Styela clava: one gene and its partners. The protein of the gene in region 2 interacts with the protein of the main gene of each other region in a pairwise test. Links are inferred from orthologs where the notes say so. Each region holds a gene or a part of one and is shown on either strand. Other genes may lie near its edges.

Region 1 (7,061 bases), on a different chromosome or scaffold from region 2:
TTCGTGAGATATCGCGTTCATCTAACAGACAGACAGATACCTATCAACATACTTACCAATCTTAAGATCGATAGGTAATAAGACGGTGACCTAAGCTTAGTGCATTGCATGTGAATAAAACCTATCTTTGAGCAAAGTCACATGCACTCACTCAAAGTAAAGGATACTCATATCTGAGCAAAGTTACAAACAGTCACTCTGGAGTAAAAGAGACTCATCTCTGAGCAAAGGTAAAGAAATCAGCACATAATAGAAAAATTTTCTTCCAGGGAATGCAAAACCTATAACCTCATCTCCAATAATCGCAAAAAACAACAAATCCGAAAAGAAGGTATAATAGTTTTTATTACAAAAGAATTCATTTTCACCTCCAGCACAGATTTCACCATTTTCCCTTTATCTATTTCTTCAGATGTTTCGGCAATATCTCTTGCGTTACGTTCTTCAACTCCCGGATTCTTCTCATTTTCAGGTACTTTCCCCTCCCCATTTGAAGAACTTTTCAATTTATGTTGTTTTCTGATTGCCGATGTAACTATTTGACCAGATTTCTTTGAAGTCACCTCCTGTTGTTTTTTAAACAGTTCCGATTTTAAACTGAACATGTTTGTTAGCTAAGAAAGGAAGTTGGCAATGATTAGAAAGAGCATAAAGAGGGTGTTTGCTCACACAGAGTCTTGTTTAGAGTGTAAAAATAGTGCACAAAAAGCATAGCATGAACGTATGATTGGATTTGCATAGAGGAAGCTTAAAGTCCCCTATGGAAAATTTGGTTTGCAGTGGAGAGAGAAAGCAATAGAGTGCTGAGGTTCAATACGATAGATACAACAAATAAGATTTCCCTTGAAAACGAACACCACGCTTACGGCGAAAAGTGGCTATTATTCAGGATTATTCAAAAATCAGACGAAAAGGTATTCAAATACTTTGATATTTATTTGATTCGTTTTGGGCAAACCTGGTGATAATTAGTTAAATAAATATTTGTTTGAGTTGATAACAGAAAACTATATCGCACATGCTAACTTGCGGTTAACACAATCAAACTTTACTACCAAACGCAGAGATATATTGACATATAAAGCCACACCTCTCCTTACATATACCTCATGTTCAAGTCAGGAAAGAGAATATTCACGTTACCAGCCTATTCATATGAGCACCTTGTACCTACTGGTCAGTTTTAATTAGGATATTTATTCTAAAATCCTTCATTTATGCAAATTTTGCTTTAGTTTATTATTATCAGAATAAAAATATTATTGAAATTGTTGCAGCAATGAGTGCAACTTTTGACCGTTCCGCGTTGCTGCTTTTATACATTTTTCTAATTGTTTGTCTCTGAGGGGGAACCCCCCAGGCCTGTGAAGATGACACAATTTGCCTTGGTCATCCGTTACTATGGTAACTACTCCCGATGTCATTTCCTCTTCCTTCAAAGTTGGGTCAGCAATTAGATGAGTAGAGTCGAATAACACAAAAGTTGAAGAAACTAGCCTTTTTCGAACTATCAACTTTGACCTCTGTTCCGGGTCAGCGAGCGTCTCTATGACATCATTTTCTTCATTGTATTTTATTTTTGGCAACGTTGTGCTCTCGAGAGCGGCCACTAAAGCCATTATACAAGCATCATTTAAATTTCCATCGTAACTCAAACAAACAACATCACAATATAAAACCCAGACCAGTTTGTCTTTAAAAATACATAATTCATCAAGATTTATGACATCACAAGTCTTTATGATGTCATTAAGAAGTTGGCTCGCAACTTGTGCTTGTTCGGACGGTGGACCGGGTTTGAAATGAGCCGCACACATCGGTGATAAGTCCACATTCGGAACAATAATTCCACAATCTGGTTTCGAAGCAGGGGGTTTCGTAAGTTCACCTTTGACCCCACAAACGACCATGGTATTTCCCATTTGCACAAGAGCAGAGCCGTCCGCTGTACTAATAGATCCAACGTTAATTGTCATTTTTCTAAATTTTCCAAGATCTCTTCCGTCCGGTCGCACGTCATTTTTCAATACCTCTTTGTAATGTTCCAAAGGCAATGAAGCTTCAAAATTACTTGTAATATCTTCCATAGTTAAATTAGTTACGTAGAAAATCTAAAATGAGAAAAAGCACAAAAATTGTAGCATTTAAATTATAAATAATGTTACATTTTTGAAAAAAAATCTTCTAATAGCATCGCAAACTCACTCAGAAGTAATAAAGATATTCCGAATTGGGTCATGCTCAAGAGAGAACACACAGAAGTCAATGCATATTTGAAAAGTTTGAATTTGGAAATGCACTAAAGATGGCTTCCTTGTTCGTATCGTGAGACCTCAAATGCTCAAAGAAACTATTCAAAATTAAAACAAATAATTGAGCAAAATGGCAAAATAATATTTGAAAAATTAAAATTTACCAACTTGATGCAGTAATAACTAGGGCTGGGCAATTTCGAATACCTGATGATTTCAGAATCGAATCGAATCTTTTTTTCTAATCGAATCTCGAATACTTGGGTCAATGGGAGATATGTAATTGTATGCGACTTTTTTTTATTGTAATTGGTCCTGTCAACAAATGAATTACTGAAAACATAGAATACGTCACTCAGACAGATTGCGAAGCGTTCACACACAATGAGAAACACTATTTATCAATACCTCACTACAGAAAATAGTCATATGTCAACAATGCATTGAAAAAATATGATTTCAATAAAAAAAAAATGGATAATTCACCTGACCATGGTCGAAAAGAACAAAAACAAGATGGCGGCGATTCAAAATTTTGCTTTGAACCGATTCGAATAATTTACTATTCGAATCGATTTGAAGTGCCCAGCCCTAGTAATACCTCTAAGTAAACCTTAATTTGAAACCTGACCTCCCACAGATCTGATATTTCACTTTAGGTTTCTAACTTGGATGGGAATATTGTACTTGAATATTCAGAAAGTGACTCATATACCAGTGTAGGCGGTCAGTTAATTACATAATACACTTAGCTATTTTAATAGCTAAATATCTACCACCTCTTAGATTTGGAAACACCCCCCTAAAATAAAAAGTTAAAAAGCTTATTACTTTACACAGATGACCTAAGACTCGATGGGTATTTCAGTAAAGTTTAAAAACTAGTGCCAGATTAGCTTTATATCAAGTGGCTTTGACAACTTTACTTTTAACCTCTCTTGGAGGCTGATAATTTGGAGTCCAGGGTCCTTTAGATTGACGAGCATAAAAATCCATAGGGTAATTCCCCTCCCACGGTTCTATGTCTTTGATTGCCACAGCAGCCTCGTACGGGGTCAAGAGGGGTGTGTCAAAGGCAAGGCCCCAATCAATGGACAAACGGGGGCAAGCAATTTGAACCCATGCTCCAACATCAGGAAATAGTTTTAATTTTGACGGAAAAATTTCTGAAAGTAAGATTTTTACAACTCTTCGTCCAGAGTTAAGAATTCGCTCTTCTAAATGGTCCAGAACAGTCGTAGATCCCTGGCGTCCCAAGGTACCTAAAATCAGCCCCCACGTTTCAGCTTTTCGTGCTTTCTCGATCGCGTTTCTTCGCACTTTCTGCATAGCTAAATGGTCGTACTTTTCGATCGTAAAAGTCTTTGCATATGGGTCATATTTGTAAGCCGGAATTTCTGGATTTGAAATCATCATAGATTCGAGATGAAACCTGCCGTCTCCGAGATAAATCACAGCGTCACATTTCACATCGCCAACATTCGGCGAAGTACAACCAAGAATTTCACCAGGCGTCAACGGTTTGATTTGTGGTATATTAACATTAAAACCATCCTTCATCAATTGGTTTTTGACTGCGTGTAGAGTAGCGACAAATTGCACGGTGCTGACTAGATACAACGCTTGTTCACGTGTAAAATTTTCTCTCACTGTCGCCATCAAATGTTCAATATCAATCTTAATATCAACGAAAATATATAACATTTTGATATCAGGCATATTGTTGATAGGTATGAGGCAGCTATGGCCATAGTGAACCATGAAGTCACACTCCAGCGCACGTGCAGAAAAATCATCAACGCAGCATGCTCCGTATGTTGTGTCACCCATTATGACAGTTTCCGCTTGAGTGAATTCCTCTATGATGTCAGAAATGGTACAAGCGAACATCAAAAGTCCGTCAGGAAATTGTAAAGCGACGCGTTTTGCTCCGTTCTGCCTGATCCGCCATATTGTTTTGTGAATTTCAAAATTGTAATTTGAAGGAAGATTTGAAATTGCAGCAGCCAATGAGGAGTCTTCTAGAATTTCAGCTGGAATTTGATTGGCTGTTATTCTAGATTTTGGCCCAACCCGTTTTCTTGTTGGATTAGCTTTAACAACTGCAGTTTGATTTTCCATTTTAAATAAATATAAACCTATATTTAGATAAATAATCTAGTGTAAAAACAATGATTTTATATTGAAAATGAAAAAAAGTTCAACTTCACAAACTGTGATAGAAGCTTCCATATTTATACTCAGGGAGGGGGAATGCAATAAGACAGCTCACTTATTGGCAGACCAAGGCGTTGGTCCTGTTACCAGCTCAGGTTACACATAGAGATGATTTATTTACCAGTTAAGTACTCCAGATGCATAGACTGACTAAATAGATATAACCTCACAGATGATCTCAGGGCAGTGGCATCAGAGTTTGTCATATTTTTATTGAAATTAGGGCGCTCCAGAAGTGTGTGTATCAATATGGAAGTAACTAATTTTGTTCGCATACTTTACATCAAGTTGTGTAAAGGGACTGAAACCTATAGGCAGGGGATATATTCACTTGGCTAACACAGACAGTCCCGATCTCGTAATGGAACTAAAATAAGAAAAATCTGAATAAAATTATGACCTGACCCTACCCTGGTACACACACAACGAGAGTACCACATTTATGGCATAAATACCGATCCAACTCTAATAGAGATAGAATAGAATAATATAGCAAACAACTATAATGACTTTATATTGAAAATGAGAATAAAAAATAAAGTTAAAGAACTAATGTGAGAAGTCTGTGGGGAGCATGGACAATTTTTTGAGAGAACAAGAGTAAAAATATTTCTTAGATTTTATATTGTCCGTCTTACTTTGGATATTTACATTTCAAAAATTTTCATTGATATTATTATTTATGTTCCATTCACGTATTTTTTGAATGAAACATACTCCCGCCTTACTAGCTGTTATTTGTAGCCTCTTGTTAGTTAGTTATTTTTGAGAGGGGGACCTGACAAATTCTAAAAAGTGGGTGTGGCTTAAAAAGAGCAACTATTTTTCCACAACTCTCATAGTCATATGGCACATACAGTACGGCACACTATACAAATCGAGTGACATTGCCTCGTTTCTGAGAAACCCATTTTACAGATGATCAGACACCCCTTCTTTGGGAGACGTCTGGACATTGTTGTCCCTCAATATCGGTAATAATACTGTATAATGAAGTTGCGCAAAATACTACAAAAAAGCGCACTTCAGTAACGTCATCATTGAATTCCTTGGAAAAAAATAATCCGATTTACCGAAGGAAAAAAAATTTGACCGTAGCATTCGAGAGTTTTTAGCAAAAACGGCAATTTTGGTCATGTGACGCCCACGATTATTTTAGATTATTATCGAGACAAGCATGGCACGATATGAAGCATCTGACGTGGTCCCAGACGCCCCTCGTTGGTGAGACACATAGAGTGTTTGTTTCATTGAGCCAAATGAGGGGGAAATTCTTGGAATTTGGATAGTGTGCTGTAACGACATATGTCAAAAATACAGACTTACAATGGTAATAATCGACTAAATCGACTAAAAAATCCTTCACAACGGATATTCAAAGGTTTCGTTGCAGTCGGGAGTTGTAGCCAAAACTTCCCAGGGGGGACCAGAAGCCAAAACTTGCCCACCTAGACTGGCGGGCCATGTGAGTGAAACATAAAAAATTACATTTTATGAACAATATCTACAGTATCACAAAAGCAAACATGTAAAACAATAAGCTTCATGCCCAAACTAAATTTACTCACAATCTCAACAAATCCTGAGCTTTTTTTTTTGCTAAAACATCAAAATTTGGTTTTAGTTTGGTTGTGGCAGCATCAGGTGGGCCAGACAGAATCACCCAGCAGTCGTAGTTTGTCCATGTCATATTTAGAGTCATTTCCAACGTATACTCGACTAAAACATGTGTTTTGTGTCGAAGTGGAAACGCCAAAAAGTTTCAAAAATAGTGATTAAGATTGGGATTTTATACTGTCTGGGTAGAATATTTGGTGCTCCAAAAGTGTGTGTACCAATATGGAGGTAACTAATTTTGTTCGGCTACTTTACATCAAGTTGGGTAAAGGAACTGAAACCTATGTGGTATATTTACTTGGCTGACACAGACAGTCTCCGAACTCATAACAGAACTAAAATAAAGAAAATCGGAAAAAAATTGTGGGATAACCCCAACCTGGTACACACCACTACGGCAGTACCAAATATTCAATGGAGGAAATTTTCGTTGGAGCTTTCAGAAAGAGAGATTTTTTTTAGAAATTTTCACTCAAACTAAACATGCATGGAAGGTCTGTATTTCTTAACGTCCAGAGATTCGTTCGTCTGAGAAAAACCAGTCCCGCCACGTTGCAACGGAATAATATCTCGTTTTTCATCTAAAATTTCATTGGTTATAGGGTGTCTCATTTCGTTTGGTTTAATTAATTTTTCAACACAATCTGCAGTAACGACGTCGCCCGTCGGACGCAAAACAACCGACGGTACAGAGTTCCCTAAAGTGTCATGGGTGACTGCACACATCCAACGGTCCTTTTTACTAATTAGCGCAGTTTTTGTGTCCCGATCAGCAATTGGTGTAAATTTCACCGGTATTAAATCTTTCATTTTGATCGAAGTGTTATTTATCGGACAATACACCTTCGAACTTGGTTTTTTAAAACGACTTTTGCTTGCCGCTGGCGTTAGCTGCGGGATCCAGAAGCTTGTTAATTCTTTCTTTTTATCTCCGTAAAGGTTGCTCAATTCCGACTGCCCGTTTGATTTACTTGT
Region 2 (7,704 bases):
CATAAAATAAGCAAAATATAGGTTTTTTTCTGATTTACGATTTATCCAGAATTTAATTCCGGTAATTTAATTAATAATTAATATCCGGTAATTTAATTCTCAGAGAAAATATCTTGTTCATCAATATCATCACCACAAATATTTTCTTATCAATTAGGAGTGTGAATGAGAAATGAGAGATGTTTTCCAAGACATTGCTGACCACCAGATCGCTGAAATGCAATTGCAGAATCGCCACACAGTGCGCAACTTCCAATTTTGATGACGTCATCTCATCACACAAAATTTTAAAGTGAAAAACGAATCCAATAAAGCCCCCAGAAATTTTTTAAATGAACAAGAGTGATAGCGACAAAAACAATCTTTGACTTTAACCACTGAGAATTTGAAAGCAATTGGTCAATTAGTTTGAAAGAAAAGCGATTTTTTCACAACAAGAAAAATATCAACAACAACAGCAACGTAACAAAACGATCCATGATAGACGCTGATTCTGAGGAAATACTTACTAATTGTAGCAGGTCTTGGTGCCGGTGGTGGTGATGAACGTCTTGGGGGTGGAGATTTCTGGATAAAAGGAATCATTTCAAATAAATTAAAAATGGAGAATTTCTATTAAAAGTTTTAATATGTTATAACAAAGAAATGAATTCTTTGCTTCGAAAGACAAGTTTGACAAAAACATTCTACAATTTCAATTTTACTATTTATGATTTATTTAAAATTTTCCTGAACAGTATAAATAAAAACAACTTACCCTTCTGATTGCGTCTTTATTTACAGTTGTTATTTTCAATTTTTCATATTGTTTTTTCGTTGTTGGCCATGGCGGTACACTTGATCTCGCACTGGATGTTGCAAGTTCATTTATAACCGCAATTTTTATTCCAGCACCTAGTCTCTGATTTACAGTGTTACCATTCTGAAAGAAAACATTATATTATAACTCAAAACTTCTGATTATTATTGTTGTTTTTGTTAACACACAATTAGATGAAGAATTAGCCATTTGATTGTAAATAAAAACTTTGAGGTCCAAAACATTACTAATGAATAGTTTTATCTTCTATTGAAATATTTCAGTTCTACTGGATTCCAGTTTCAAAAATTTGCCTCACAAATATATTTCCAGCGTATAAAAAATTTGTCTGATTCAAACACCATTGAGCATAACTCAATTTATCGAAGGGAAAACAGAATTCAAATGTTGACATTTAATTTGAATATTGTTTTATCTAACACAGCAAAGAATAAGTATCCCTAAGATCATAGCATTCATATAATTCCAATTTCCAGGTACTCAGTGATCTGCTATTATGAGTAAAGGTGTAGGCCATAATGATAGCACAGACATGGGAATATTTATATAACAGTTCCATATTTAATGATTATTGGTTCAATCAAATACTGAATAAAATGAATAAGAAATTTTCTAAGCATGTTGTTATTAAATAACGAAAAAATTAAAAGCGGCAAACTTTTAAACATTCATGATAGTTTTTTTTTTTGTATTGTCATTATACCTAAGATGTACAAAATCATTTTCCAGTTACTTATACTGTTTAACATACCATAACATATAATGTTTACGGTTCCATTACATTTGAACCCACGTACATTTGAACCCATGACAATTGCACCTGTATGCTATTGCACCTATGGAATTTTTTTTGTTTCACGGATAGTTATCGAAAAATACTCACTCTATTATTACTTGAATGACCGAGAGTCGACCTTGTTTTATTTCCTTGAGCAACATGGAAAGTAATGTTGGGCAATTGATGAGGCTTTTGCAAAGCTAGTTCATTTGGAATTGTAACTTTGGGTATTCCCCCGACATGTTTTTGTGGTGCAGGGCGTGCTTGATTGTGTTTAGCTTCTATCTTCTGTCGAGCATCAACAATTTGCTTTGGCTTAATTTTTTGCCGAGCATCAGTTATTGTGTTCTTTGATTTTATAAAGAGTCGTGCATCGACAATTTTTTTTCGGTTTTGTTGCCTCGCAGACTGAAGTCTCTTTTTCTGAAAAGCCAAATTTGGCCTCATTCCTTTATCACTATACATTCCTCTTGCACTGGGTTTCTTGCTTCTGTGGTAAAATAAATACAATGAAATATTTTGGAAGTATTGAACCTGTTAAAGTCATAACTGAGCACGAAGCATTGTAAATATCAAGCAAAGTAACCGAATCACGAATTTAAGGCTTTCAGCAGTTCAGACTCGTCAGTTAGTGCATCAGGCTAACTAACCACTACAGCACTAGGAATCAGGTTGCCAGACTGCCCTTATGCACAGATTAACAAAGGCAATATAACATTAGCCCTACACTCATAAAAGCATATTTCACCATATATTTCAGTGATATCTGGATATCAATCACCCCAAATCAAAAAATATAAACTAGGAAAGAATTGTACATAGTGTAAATAGTTAACAAAGATGAGAGGTAATGATATAATCCACATTGAACCTGTTAAATTATTTTATTACTAATTCTATTGGGTGGCAACTGAATCTGATGACCCCAAAAGGGGGTATCGTTGCCTCCCAGTCATATATATACCTATATACGAAAAGCATGAATCTGTATATTATTTTGATTTGTATGTATTTATATATTGTGTTTTCTTGGTTTGGCAAATGTAATAAATCTCTCTCTCTCTCTACTGTAGTCACAATTTGCAGTTTTATTGGTGGCTAAATTCATTATTACCGTACCGCTGTATCAAGCAAACTTCAAAATTAATGATAATAAACTCACCTTATTTTCTTTGCAGTCTTTCTCTCCTTTATAATTTCATCCAAGGATTGATCTACCAATCCCATCACCTGATCACAGAATACTGGAATAGTCCAATAGGTTTCTGTATTTCAATATTCGTACCTTGAAAATTACGGTATCCAGACACCGGTATCCTTGTTTCAACTGATAAATAGGCCTAGCCTAGTGTAGTAGCCTATAATGGTATATATCTATGCCCTACCCGTGTATCTAGGCTTTACTAAATAGAAAAAAATGAATAAAAACAAAAAGTTCGTCGGTTTTTGTGGTCACATTTACAGTTTTATACGGTACCAACAATGTACGGTACGGGTACTGACTGCTGGACTGGGAAGGCCTTCGGGTCTAATTACAGGATTGAAGAGTTGTCTGTTTGTATATTCTATTATTATAACAATGCTCGTTTTCTTCTGGTTGGCGAAATACCGTATCGCACCGTAATAAATCTTCGCCGCATTTTCTACGGCGACGTTGAGCCTGTCTGTCTTCACTACAGGGCTCCAAATCCAATGGACGTTTCCCTGATCCTTGACCCGAGAAAAATTCTATTTTACTTTACTGCAGTACTGCACAAATTTTTATCTTATAAATAGGTTTACGCGTCCGGAACCTTCAAATGAAATTATTAGACAACCTTCCATTTCTTTGAGGGGTGGCTCATTTTGATAAGAAGAAAAAATAAACTTGACTTTATAATGCGCCGGGAAGGCCAGGGTTTCTGGCAAATGTACTAGCATTTTTTTCGTAGATAAAAAACAAAAACTTGTACACGGTCTCATTCCAAGTGAAAGATGCGATGAACTGTCGTATAAAATACCGTTAAAAGGATCACTTCCGATTAGCAATTAGGAAGAGTGCATTGATTTAAACACCCACAACCCAGGGTTGATCGATATAAAAAGGCAAGAAATTATTTATTCCGATACCTGCCCCTTGTGGGTCATTTCGAGGTAATATGTGAACCTTACCTCATAGAACACAGCGAGCGTTCCTATTTATTTATTTTAGATGACGAGATTGAATGAATGAAATGTCTGTGGTGGGACTCTGAGCTCGCTTGTATAGAAAAGTTACTGCCTGGTACATATATTATATGTTGAGTATTATCACACATTCAACTAAGAACCCATGCATTCAATAAACTAAAAAAAAAACTGACCATACAAAAAACCAGCTTGCTTCAACTAGACATATATATTTCTTTCTATATCTACACAGTGCATCGAATTAAACTACAAAATAATACAAACACAGATTGTCAGTCACTGTTATAACATACATGCATAGGAAAAGATGAAACTTGGGTCTACCAGTCCCATTTTCATAACTGATTTTAAAAAAGAATGAGATATGATGTAGATACATCTTTGCTTCAAAACAATGTTTCCCGACTACACTTGGAAACATTGAATTATCCAAAAACCTGTAACATATACTTTAAGACATGCTGTTGTGGAGGGGAGATAATGTTAAGCTCCAGAATAACTGTTTTTCGTGCCAAGATATTCGAGTGGAATGCACGAGATTATGACACTCCACAAATCTGTACTCGCTAAATCAAAATGGGATTTTATTTGAATCCACCATAAAAATGAAATTACAACGCATGCGAACATGGAACAAAGTAGAAAAAATGGTTATTTCATGGAGCATGGATATGACCATAGGCCAGGAACCCAAATAAAGTTGCATTAAAGTAGAAACCCAAATGGAAGATATTCAAAGCAGTTACAATAATTTATTTCCTCATAATTAAGCACTATGCATTAAGATATATGCATGACAAAAAAGTTCCTATATTTATGTACTATGTTCCATTTGAAGACGTGCCGAGCATGTATGGGGACAAAAAGAATTGCAAAACATAACATAAACAAAGGTAACCAAAAAATCGTAGTATACATTGACAGAGATGGTATTATATAAAATTCCAAGGGAAGACAAAAATGATAGATAGCCATGGAAGACTGTGAACAATAGGTTTAATAAAATTGCTACAAAATCACCATAAAGGCACCTCAGCTACTAACTTCATGAATGCAGTGGTAAAGTAATATTTCTATGCATAAACTTAATAATTTTTTTAAATTTAACATTGAAAAAACACAGTAATAAAAAGCTCTAATTACACATCAAATACTATGCCAAAATCATAATACAATGCATGTGTGTACCAATAATTCAGTATTCTTTTCTCGAATGAATGAGATAGAAATACAAGTTAATAAAACACTCTTAATAAATTTCCCAACAGCTATCTAACACTGGAACATCTTAAAAACTATCTTTTAACCAAAAAGTGCAATCAGGTTTAATTAACAGTGGTTAAAGGCATCACAAATAAACTGCTACAGTGAGTTTCTGTACAAATTATAAAATTGATCATGGACAATGTGTGTATATTTAAGCATCTTGAGGAACTTCAATTGAAGCAGTTGCCTTCTCTTTTTGAGCCAATTCCTGTAATATGAAAGTAAAATATTTTAAAATATTCATAAAATTAAAAATATTCGAAGTGTGTTATGAATTGTCAGTGTTGATAGCCTGTCGATTCTCTTTCAGAAATTGTTCCATTCGCTAGGTATGCCACTGATAAGTGAACTACGTATTTGGTGATATTCTAAATCAGGGGTTCCCATGCTTTTTTCAGGACGATCCCAAAGACAACTTTCAAGTGTCTAGTGCGACCCCAGGTCAATATATATATTTTTCATGAAAGTTTAAGCTTCTTTCACTAGACTTTTTAGATTGGTCATGTGGTGGTATTAAGTAAAATAAGCTAAAACCAACAGTGATGTCACATTAATCACCTAAATTTTCTATAGCATAAGCATAGAGCGATGCCTATGGGCCTGTTTTACAGTAAGTCATGGTACAAACTGCTAAATTTAAGATGGTTCGTCAAATTTCAGATGTTTTGTGTACATTCATCCTCGACCATACCTCAGCGACCCCACCGACCCCATGACCTGTTTGCGACTCTACCTACTTATCATTCTGACCCAATTTGGGGTCGCAACCCCTGTTCTAAATTTACCCTCAAAATACACAGGAAGTATTGTATCCATTTTCAAGACATTCAGACTCAAACAAGGACATTTTAGTAATTTGGCAATATTTTGCATGAAAGTATCATTCACTTTATGGAGGCAAGGTAAAAGGATGAATGTAAAAATTTTGAAGAATTTGAAAATATTACATAGAAGGAGGTAGCCTACTCTGTATGTTGGTATTTAATCATTGTCTGTGTATTCACCAGGATTTTCATAAACTTAAAGGAGTTTAAAAATCAAAATCATATGTTGAGCTCTTTATCTCCTTAATTCAAATGCCCTCAATAGACAAAAGAAAAATGGGAAACCAAGACAAAATTATATTACTTCTGACAACATCTTTTGCTGTTTGAAAAACTTTTTTGTAATAAATGAGGTACATCATATGCCAAATTGAAAGGCAAATGGCGTCTTACTACATCTGTTAAATATTTAAAGGAAGGGCCTGGCCCTAGATCTCAAAATTGAGTGCCATGCACCAAGATGGCGCACAACCTGAACTTAGTATGTTAACCAAGTTAGGGTTATCAGGTTGTGCGCCATCTTGGTGCACATACTTCTGGAGCGCCCAAAATTGATCTTGAGCTTATGACCTTCCCAGATGAAAACAAATACATACATTCAATTCCTGTTCCTGAGCCATCATCCTTCTTTTCCTCGATCTTCTTGCTTTTAATTTCATTTGGAAATCTGCATGTTGTCGGGCTCTGTTTGCTTCCATCTCCTTTGAATATTCTTCTCGTTGTTTGTCATATTCTGCCATCACTACCTCAAGGTTTCCTGAGTAAAAATAATGAAAAGTTAATATAAACAAGAATCGTTATCTGGTCTAATATTCTTTAAACCCAACAGTTGTCTTTTTGTCTGAATGCACTTGATATTAAAAACATGCTCATTGTGATGCTGGACTTCTTAAAGTCAATAGCTGGACCATTTAACTCTTAACAGCTTCCACCATTCATGTACCGTTGTACCAATTTTTAATAACTGTATTGCTACATTGTTTAAAAACATTATGTTAGTTATTAAATTCAAATAAAACAATACCAATAAACAGAAACCATCAAACCATTCAATTACTAAACCAAATTCAATAAGTGACCTCACCAAAAAGTTCGTCTTCTTTAGGCGAAGGTGCCAATTCATCCAAAGGTAGCGCCATAGGTTTGTCATCTTCAACTGAAGCTGTTTCATTAGCCTGTATAACAATAGTTTGTTATTATAGAATACAGTTAACTTGGAGCATAAAATATTTCCAAAAAATAAGTTCGAGGTGACCCAAAACAAAACCCAGGGGATTATTTGGAACGAATTCTAGAGAGAAAACATAACTTTCGTACAGATTGTCCCAGATTACTAAAACATTTGGTTACAATCATACGCAAACAGAAGTTGAAAAGTTAAATAAATTGAGCTTCATTTCCATACGAGCAATTACAAAATTTATGGGTTTTGTTTTGGGGGTCATCCTTGTATTATACTGAAAAATTACAGATTGCTATTCTTTTTAAAAATGCTCAGGCATACTGGCTTCAGAATAAATTATATTGGCTATTATTGGATGATCACAATAAACTCCAGCACATCTGATGTTCATGTTAGAATTAGAAACAACAGCATTAGTTATTGATTTGACAAAACAATTGAAAAACAAGTTCAAATTTCTGTTCGCGCCACGCTTATCCCTATTCAGCATTTCCTGAAGTTTTCACAGAACACTAAATTGTATACCATCATCAGTGACTTACCTCCCCTTCCGCACTTTCCTCTTGTGCTTCTTTGATCTGTTTGTCAAGATCCTGGGATTCTGGAATATTTTCTGCCTCTGCAGCGACATCCGATGGTTCTGCGTCATCACTTTCAATCCCAG
Region 3 (7,177 bases), about 6.1 Mb from region 2:
AAAGCCCAATTATGGTGAACATTTCAAATATTGATCAGAGCATAGAGCCTGAAAATAGGTTGCTGAACTCTGGTGCAACTCAGATATTTGTAGGCACAATTCTCTCTGGTCAAGCTCAAATGGATTATCTGCACATGCAAATCTTTGACCAAACTTTAGTCCTTATTATCAGTTGCAATGACGTCATATACAACATCGATTTGACAGTATACAGGAGATTTCATAGCTAGTTTTCATGACATCTCATTAAATGGCCACCACATTGAGAATTGCACTACTGCAATTGATATTCTGTGAAACTCCAAATTTCTAACATTTCTCCCAACTGAAACGCATTATACAAATAAAAACGAACAAACATTTCAAATTGCTATTTACATATCAAATAACATTGCTTCCCAAACTAATTCTTCACGATGACAGCTATAAGAAATCAAAGACGATACCAACAATTAAAAACCATTGACACTACTTACACAAAGGAGATGCTTGCCTATCTTGTGTTAAAAGATAAAACAATCACAAAAATTACATTTGAGATTGAAGGACGTTCATTGGTAAGAGAAATCAAATACAGATATTGAAATTCAACTCCGTAAAGTGGTCAATAAAATTGCAAACTACATTCAATAATGTGTTATACCAGTCAATTCAAGCCTGTCAAAACAAAAGTCAATGACGGCAATCTTCAATCAAACTAAAACTAGAAATGGGTATCTATTTCTCAAGCATGATTGAAGATAGATCGTTCCATAATTCATGCCTAGTATCTTCGCTCCAATATTTATGTCTTGCCAGCTTGTTTCCGAAGGAGAATGTAGATTTTTTCTTTGATCCACTCTTTGTTGAATGGTGCGTATGTCTGGGTAGATTTTTGAAATACTAGGCAACAGAGATCAGCAAGTTCATCGATGAAATCAAACAGTTGACTGATGTCGTAAGTAATTGAAGGGCAATTGGGATTGATTCGCTTGAGATGTTCTTCATAGATCTTGCACACACCTAGAAATGTAAAATTATTTCAAAATAAAAATATTTTTGGAAAAACACATGCTAACATATTAGTACTATGTGATTGATATTTTCAATCTGTTTTATGTGAGTGAAATACACGCATACAAAAATGGACAGGTAACTGAAGTGTAGATTTCCAGCGTAATGCTTTCACCTTTGATATTGAGTAATTAATTTTATATTCTCACATTTATCCTGTGTTAACAGTAAACACATATCAGTATATAGTAACAAACCATATTTAAACGAACAAGTTTTTAATTTGAATTTTGGGTTAAATCTAGTTCAATTATAATAATTTTCCCATTATAAGCTGATATGAAAAAGTTATCTATATATTTTACAATTTATTCATCAAGGACATGCTATGAAAAATTAAAATGAATTCACATATTTGACCAGACATTTGGTTCAATAAAACAAACTCTATTTGTCTCTGGGAAGAGATCGTCTGGCATAACTGTAGTATGTAACTGTAGATGTGTCAGATCGCGCCATGCCTGTCTCAATAATACTTTTAAACCATAGCGACGTGCGCCGGCCAGCGTATGACCAAAATTGCAGTATTGTACTAAAAACTCTCAATTGCTATTTTTTTTTTTGGAGGTTATATTATTTTTTCTAAGGAAGGAATCCAATGGTGTAATTTTTTTGGTCTGCGCTTTCTATTCGTTCACTGCACAGTGGCTGTTCGTGCCAAAATGAAAGCCCAGACAGTCTAGTAAAAGAGGGGTTTGCACTCACTGGTATAATTGATGTCTTTTAATGTGGGGGCTATTCTCGACCGTCATACTGGTTTTTTTTTTTTAAATTAAATTCTCTTCTTAAAACATTAGTTTCCTAGATGTTTTGTCCTTTCTTGATGTATCGCTGTGTTTTTTTATTTAAATATCAATGTTCATTATATATGAACATTATAAAGACGAGAAACAATTATTACAATTCTTAAGTACTGGTATTTAGGCATAAAATTGATATGGCGTTCTGGAAATTGTCGAAATGCACCGGAAACTATTTTTGAGATTTCTAATACTGATAGGCCTACTTAATTCAAAGCATGAAACCATCAAGCACCATTTTCAGAAAATATTTGCTGTCTTATATGAATTATAAGCACAGTAGTTCGTATTGTATTCTGATCTGTGACTCCTGGACATCAATTGGACTTTGTATTGGGGCATTTATATAGGATAGGATTTACATATTTATCCCGGGGGGGGGGGGGGGAGGAAAGCCGATAAGATGGCTTATCAATATGGCGAACCACGGCCTCTCGTCCGGTTACCATTCCAAGTCGGGTATGGGATTAGTTTTATTGTTTGTTTTCGGAAGCATGGACTTGGTGGTGGAGGAAGCCGTAACCGACCAGCGGTTACGTGAACCACCCAACGACGGCGAGGAGTCCAGCAATCCTCTCGCACATAACCATCTCTGCATGGGATTCGAACCTGCGAACCCACGCAGAGTAATTAGAGGTGCGGTGGTGAGCGTATTCCTAACGCTTAGCCCGTTGAGCCACACCGCCGCGCAATTTGGGGCATTTATATTGGGGTCTCGTGTAGTTCCATACCTAACGTAGTTATGGCGTAGTCAGATGGCAGTTAGGATTGACATATCGAAAAATTGTTACCGGTATGCTACGCTCACTAGAAGTATGTTAGGTACGGTAGTACCGGTACGAAACTACATGAGACCCTTATACCGGTATTGTTGGTAGTCATGGTTTTTAAGCATATTAGCATTCAATAAACAGACACAATACAATAAAACAATTGATAATAACGACTCGTTACGAATTATTGAAACTGACAATGTATGCAGGTCACATTACGGTACCGTACCACATTCAGACATTATGTACTGATATGATATGTACTGATATTAGGATACTCACCCTCCATGCATTCATTCACCGATTCGTAGTCTGAATATGTCCGCCCCTCAGGCTTTTTCGTTGGCTGAACAAGAAGTATTGTGTGAGACATTTTAAATTTTCTAAAATCTGCTACGAGGAGAACAAAACCGCCTATTCCAGTATTCGCACGCAAGGAATCGACAGCAGCAGAACCCAGTCACCAGTCAGATAAGCAAGCGCCGTTTTGTCAGATTATCATATTTCAGACAAACCTAAACTACCGAATTTCATACAAATGTGTTCCGTGCGCGATGTATTTGCCCCGTAACTATGGATGTTTTCCCGAGCATCGATTTCCCTGTTATTTCCGTAACAATTACCAATCAGCAAAGAGTCAACAATGACGTAACAATTGCAATTTATGCCGCCGCTCAGACATTTCTTTCGACTAGACTAGACATATATATTCAAGCGTAGTTGTAAACATCGCCTCTTTTTAGTATAGTTCCAAAAAATATTTGTGAATCAAAAATAATTATTTAGGATAGAATAGGATTTACATATTTATCCCGGGGGAGAGGAAAGCCGATAAGACGGCTTATCCATATGGCGAACTACGGCCTCTCGTCCGGTTACCATTCCAAGTCGGGTATGGGATTAGTTATATTGTCTTTTTTCAGAAGCATGGACTTGGATAGAATGGATGGACTTGAAAGCATGGATATTTGTTATTATGTCTTCCCAACGACTAACATACCGTCTTTCAGGATCTTTAGTTTTATCAAAAATTGATATCGCAAGGTAGCAGTACATGTAAGCGGCACGTGGTTCAATCCCCGTTGACCCTATGTCTAATGGGATCCTATAGATAGTCCAATGATTTTCGCCATTTTGTGCGTGCAAACTAGATCACATCTTCACAATTTTGTCCCAAGTTGCTGAAAAGAACTGACAGCTAATTGAAAAAAGTCTTCGCCTTTCTCTATTTTGTCTTTATTTGGAAAGGGTCCTGTTTTGAGACAATTGAACACCTCAAAGAAGCATACAAAATTAGGTCTGGATGATCAATGTATAAATGATAATGCTGTTCTGGATTTCCAGCTATATCTTCAAATAAGTCCAAAAATAATAACATATCCCATACCAGTGTTAACATCAATGACGATTTTATTTCATTGGTTGTAAATATTGATGATTGTCACTGTGTTAATACTGGGTTAAGACTGGGTCTTATTTCAATCTTTCTCCGAAAAATAACACTAGGGCTTATTTTCATTTTCAAAAACAAAATTACAAAGTAGAGAACTACGGGATTTTCAAGTATACAAAACATGAAAACCGATATCCATTAAATCATAAATATAGCGTTTTTATTCAAAATAACTGCAAAACATAGATTATTAATCATTTTAAACGTGTAAGCGAGATGTCTTGCTATCGACTAGGTCAAAAAAAAAATTGCGTCATTGACTAGGTCTTATTTTAAGAGTCGGGCTTATATTAAAATCGTTTTTAAAATTCGGACTGGGTCTTATTTTCGGGGAAGTTCAGTAGTTCACGCTTGCAACAATCATGCTTTAAAACCAAGCAGGGGCGGTACGATTCAGCCTCCTACTCTTAATTTGTGATTTACCGCATAAATCTTTGACGAATGTTTTCTTTGGCATGTAAAATTTTGAATAGGATAAAGATAAACTGTTCAACTTTATCAACGGTTCAACCATCTTGAACAATCAAGATTAAACTAACAAACCTTGTACAATATATCACAAGAGCAGCTAGTTGGTCAAGGCAAACGAAGAGCATTTAAACACTGCGGAATTTGAACAAAATCGGCACAATGCTCGAATTACATGCTCACTTATTTGAAAACCCAAAGCGTCCTTGTGGTTCCATTTCCATTCCTGCCAATATTCCTATCGGGCGAACATTTTTATTAACAAATGGCGATTAAAGAGTTTTCAAGGCAGTGTTCCGTGGGAGACATTACAAAATACGCACAATCAAAAAACTTGAAGAGGTACTGTCCTAATCTCACTGCTGCAAAAGACTTAATTATGTAGATTGCACAATATATTTCAAAAGCACATTGGTAAAACTTTGGGTAGTCCTTGATCAAGATATCTTTTAAATTGCTGAATTGAGAATTATCGGCGATTTGTACAAATACAATCAGAATAAGTACTGGTCTCTAAAAATTTGATCAGATATTAACGATGCCTTGTAACAGTTGCAACTTGGCAAAAGGAGATTTGTAGATAGAATGTACATTAATCATTATATAGAAAAATTTAATAAGATTTTGTTTCTAGCGCATTTATTGATCATATTATAGCAGAGTGGCAAATGAAAATGAATATATTATCTGAGGCGACAGAAGCCTATGCCTAACATAAGTATGATCACTTTCAAAATATATCAACCACCAATTCAATGAAAATGATGAAGAAAAAATTACGTTCAATTACCGGTAGGTTTTCCTCAATAAAAACTGTTCTGGAACTGGGAGAGAATAACTGAACCAACAGGCCTGTGTTGAACAGATGATACCCAATTAACAATGTGTGTTGATTTGAAATTCATGTTGCACATTTTACATTTCATAAATCATATAATATCAACATTCAAAAATATGTCTTAAACAGTGCATGTATATGATTATCGATAATACGCAGATAATAAAAATTTCCTCACTTCACACCTTGATAAAATTAACTTCTTCACTCAGTAATACAGAGATGCCATAAAAAGTAGAAGCAAAGATGGATATAATTTTGAATTCTGTCGGAATATTTCATACAAAATCGAGGTCTTCTATACCATTTCTATATACGAAGACAAATGTATTTATATCTTCAAGAGTACTTTCGTTGGCACATTTTAAAACAGTAAAAATAAAGCACACCAAATAAAGCATAAGCCATTTGATACATTTCTACCTTTGGCGTGACCCAAAATGAATATTTTGATTGCACATAACACTATTCAATACGGTTTCACAATCTCTCGAAGACGTTCAAATTCTAAGTAAAGAGTATGTTATATAGACACGATTTGGGGGGGGGTCGGTAGGTGTTTTTAGGTATGACCGAATTGCCCCTAGGGATTGTCACAAAATGACTTGCAACTACGACCTTTGCTCTTGAATATTATTCTCCTAATTGTGCTTAATATAAATAATTCAGGAAATTTTTTATTTCAAAATGGTAGAAAATCGCATGGCAAACAATCAAATCGCAACGCATGACAATGGCTAAAACATTCCCACTCGGATAATTCGGCATTTAAAATTTGAGTATTATTGCAACTGATACTGCATACATGAAACAATGTTGACCAATACCACTCAAACGCTAAAAATCATGACCAGCTTTCAACATAACCAGTCCAATCTACAGGAGGAGCAAGATAAACTCTTCTACCTCTGAAAATAGTGGTTACAATACCCATATATGCTGTCCTTGGCACCCCTTTTTTAAAATCGGACATAAGTCCAAGCTCCTTAGCAAAAGCTTTAAAAGTATGTGACATTGTGTATTCAATTCGAACTTCACGAGAGTCTGGATCTTTATTTTCTTTAAGATCGCTGATTCGAAACAGTGGAAGGTTGTATACTTTATCTTTGAAAGATCTTGAAATATAAAAAAAAAGAAATGCAAGTCTACTAATCATGAATAAAGAGAGGAAAAACTCTAAAATGAGGTAGGAAATTATTGTCAAAACACATGATTTAGAATCGTGTAGAAAAAGAGTTTTTTTTGTGAGCTATTAGTCAAGTATAACATCACACCAGTTGGGAATTATATACAGATTAATATTCAATTCGGAGAAACCGCATATATCTAAATGCACAAAAAAAAACAAAGCCTGACCACTTAGACAACGAATTAGCGTAAGTATATGGCTTCTGCATGTCAGAATATTGTTGCATGTTAGATTTTAATTGATGCCATTTCGGCAGAGGGTAGAACAGTACAGCTTTTAAATTATTTCACAAATATAATATAAAGATTAGTCGGAATGTTATCAGACAAGCAAATATAAAACACATCTCCCTAACCGTTGGTTGGTAATTACTAATAGAGCGGCTTGACAAAACATTACTTACTATCTTATACATTCATAATTAATATAAAATAGAACCTTTGAGCTTGAATAGACTTCAATAAGGTAAAAACATACTTATCATAATTATCTTTAACGAGGTACGAGAGATCTTTTGTCGACCAGTCGACTGGAAATTCATTTAACTTGATATATTTCAAGTGAGTATCAAAGAACTGTCCAGCACTGACCTGTACAAACATA

The links. The genes of interacting proteins can lie anywhere in the genome.
Region 1: the proteins of uncharacterized protein LOC120344499 (region 2) and exosome complex component RRP43-like interact in a two-hybrid assay, tested with the Homo sapiens proteins (2 studies listed by BioGRID). The link is inferred for Styela clava from reciprocal best matches to the Homo sapiens genes POLDIP3 and EXOSC8.
Region 3: the proteins of uncharacterized protein LOC120344499 (region 2) and enhancer of rudimentary homolog interact in a two-hybrid assay, tested with the Homo sapiens proteins (2 studies listed by BioGRID, with this or other methods). The link is inferred for Styela clava from reciprocal best matches to the Homo sapiens genes POLDIP3 and ERH.

Annotation. Positions count from the first base shown.
Region 1 is NC_135250.1:31,193,093-31,200,153, forward strand, and holds exosome complex component RRP43-like, read right to left. Parts: upstream 2,112-7,061; 5' UTR 2,088-2,111; coding exon 1,260-2,087; 3' UTR 615-1,259; downstream 1-614. Other genes in the region: coiled-coil domain-containing protein 174-like, read right to left, coding at 369-605; 2-(3-amino-3-carboxypropyl)histidine synthase subunit 1-like, read right to left, coding at 3,156-4,373; nitric oxide synthase-interacting protein-like, read right to left, coding at 6,564-7,061. UniProt on the Homo sapiens protein: Non-catalytic component of the RNA exosome complex which has 3'->5' exoribonuclease activity and participates in a multitude of cellular RNA processing and degradation events.
Region 2 is NC_135254.1:8,186,479-8,194,182, forward strand, and holds the start of uncharacterized protein LOC120344499, read right to left. Parts: upstream 3,002-7,704; 5' UTR 2,826-3,001; coding exon 2,761-2,825; intron 2,089-2,760; coding exon 1,704-2,088; intron 923-1,703; coding exon 758-922; intron 568-757; coding exon 510-567; intron 1-509. Other genes in the region: uncharacterized protein LOC120345080, read right to left, coding at 5,185-5,241, 6,454-6,614, 6,942-7,032, 7,583-7,704. UniProt on the Homo sapiens protein: Is involved in regulation of translation. Is preferentially associated with CBC-bound spliced mRNA-protein complexes during the pioneer round of mRNA translation. Contributes to enhanced translational efficiency of spliced over nonspliced mRNAs.
Region 3 is NC_135254.1:14,324,731-14,331,907, forward strand, and holds enhancer of rudimentary homolog, read right to left. Parts: upstream 3,115-7,177; 5' UTR 3,000-3,114; coding exon 2,909-2,999; intron 1,003-2,908; coding exon 785-1,002; 3' UTR 357-784; downstream 1-356. Other genes in the region: alpha-1,3-mannosyl-glycoprotein 2-beta-N-acetylglucosaminyltransferase-like, read right to left, coding at 6,230-6,500, 7,052-7,164. UniProt on the Homo sapiens protein: May have a role in the cell cycle.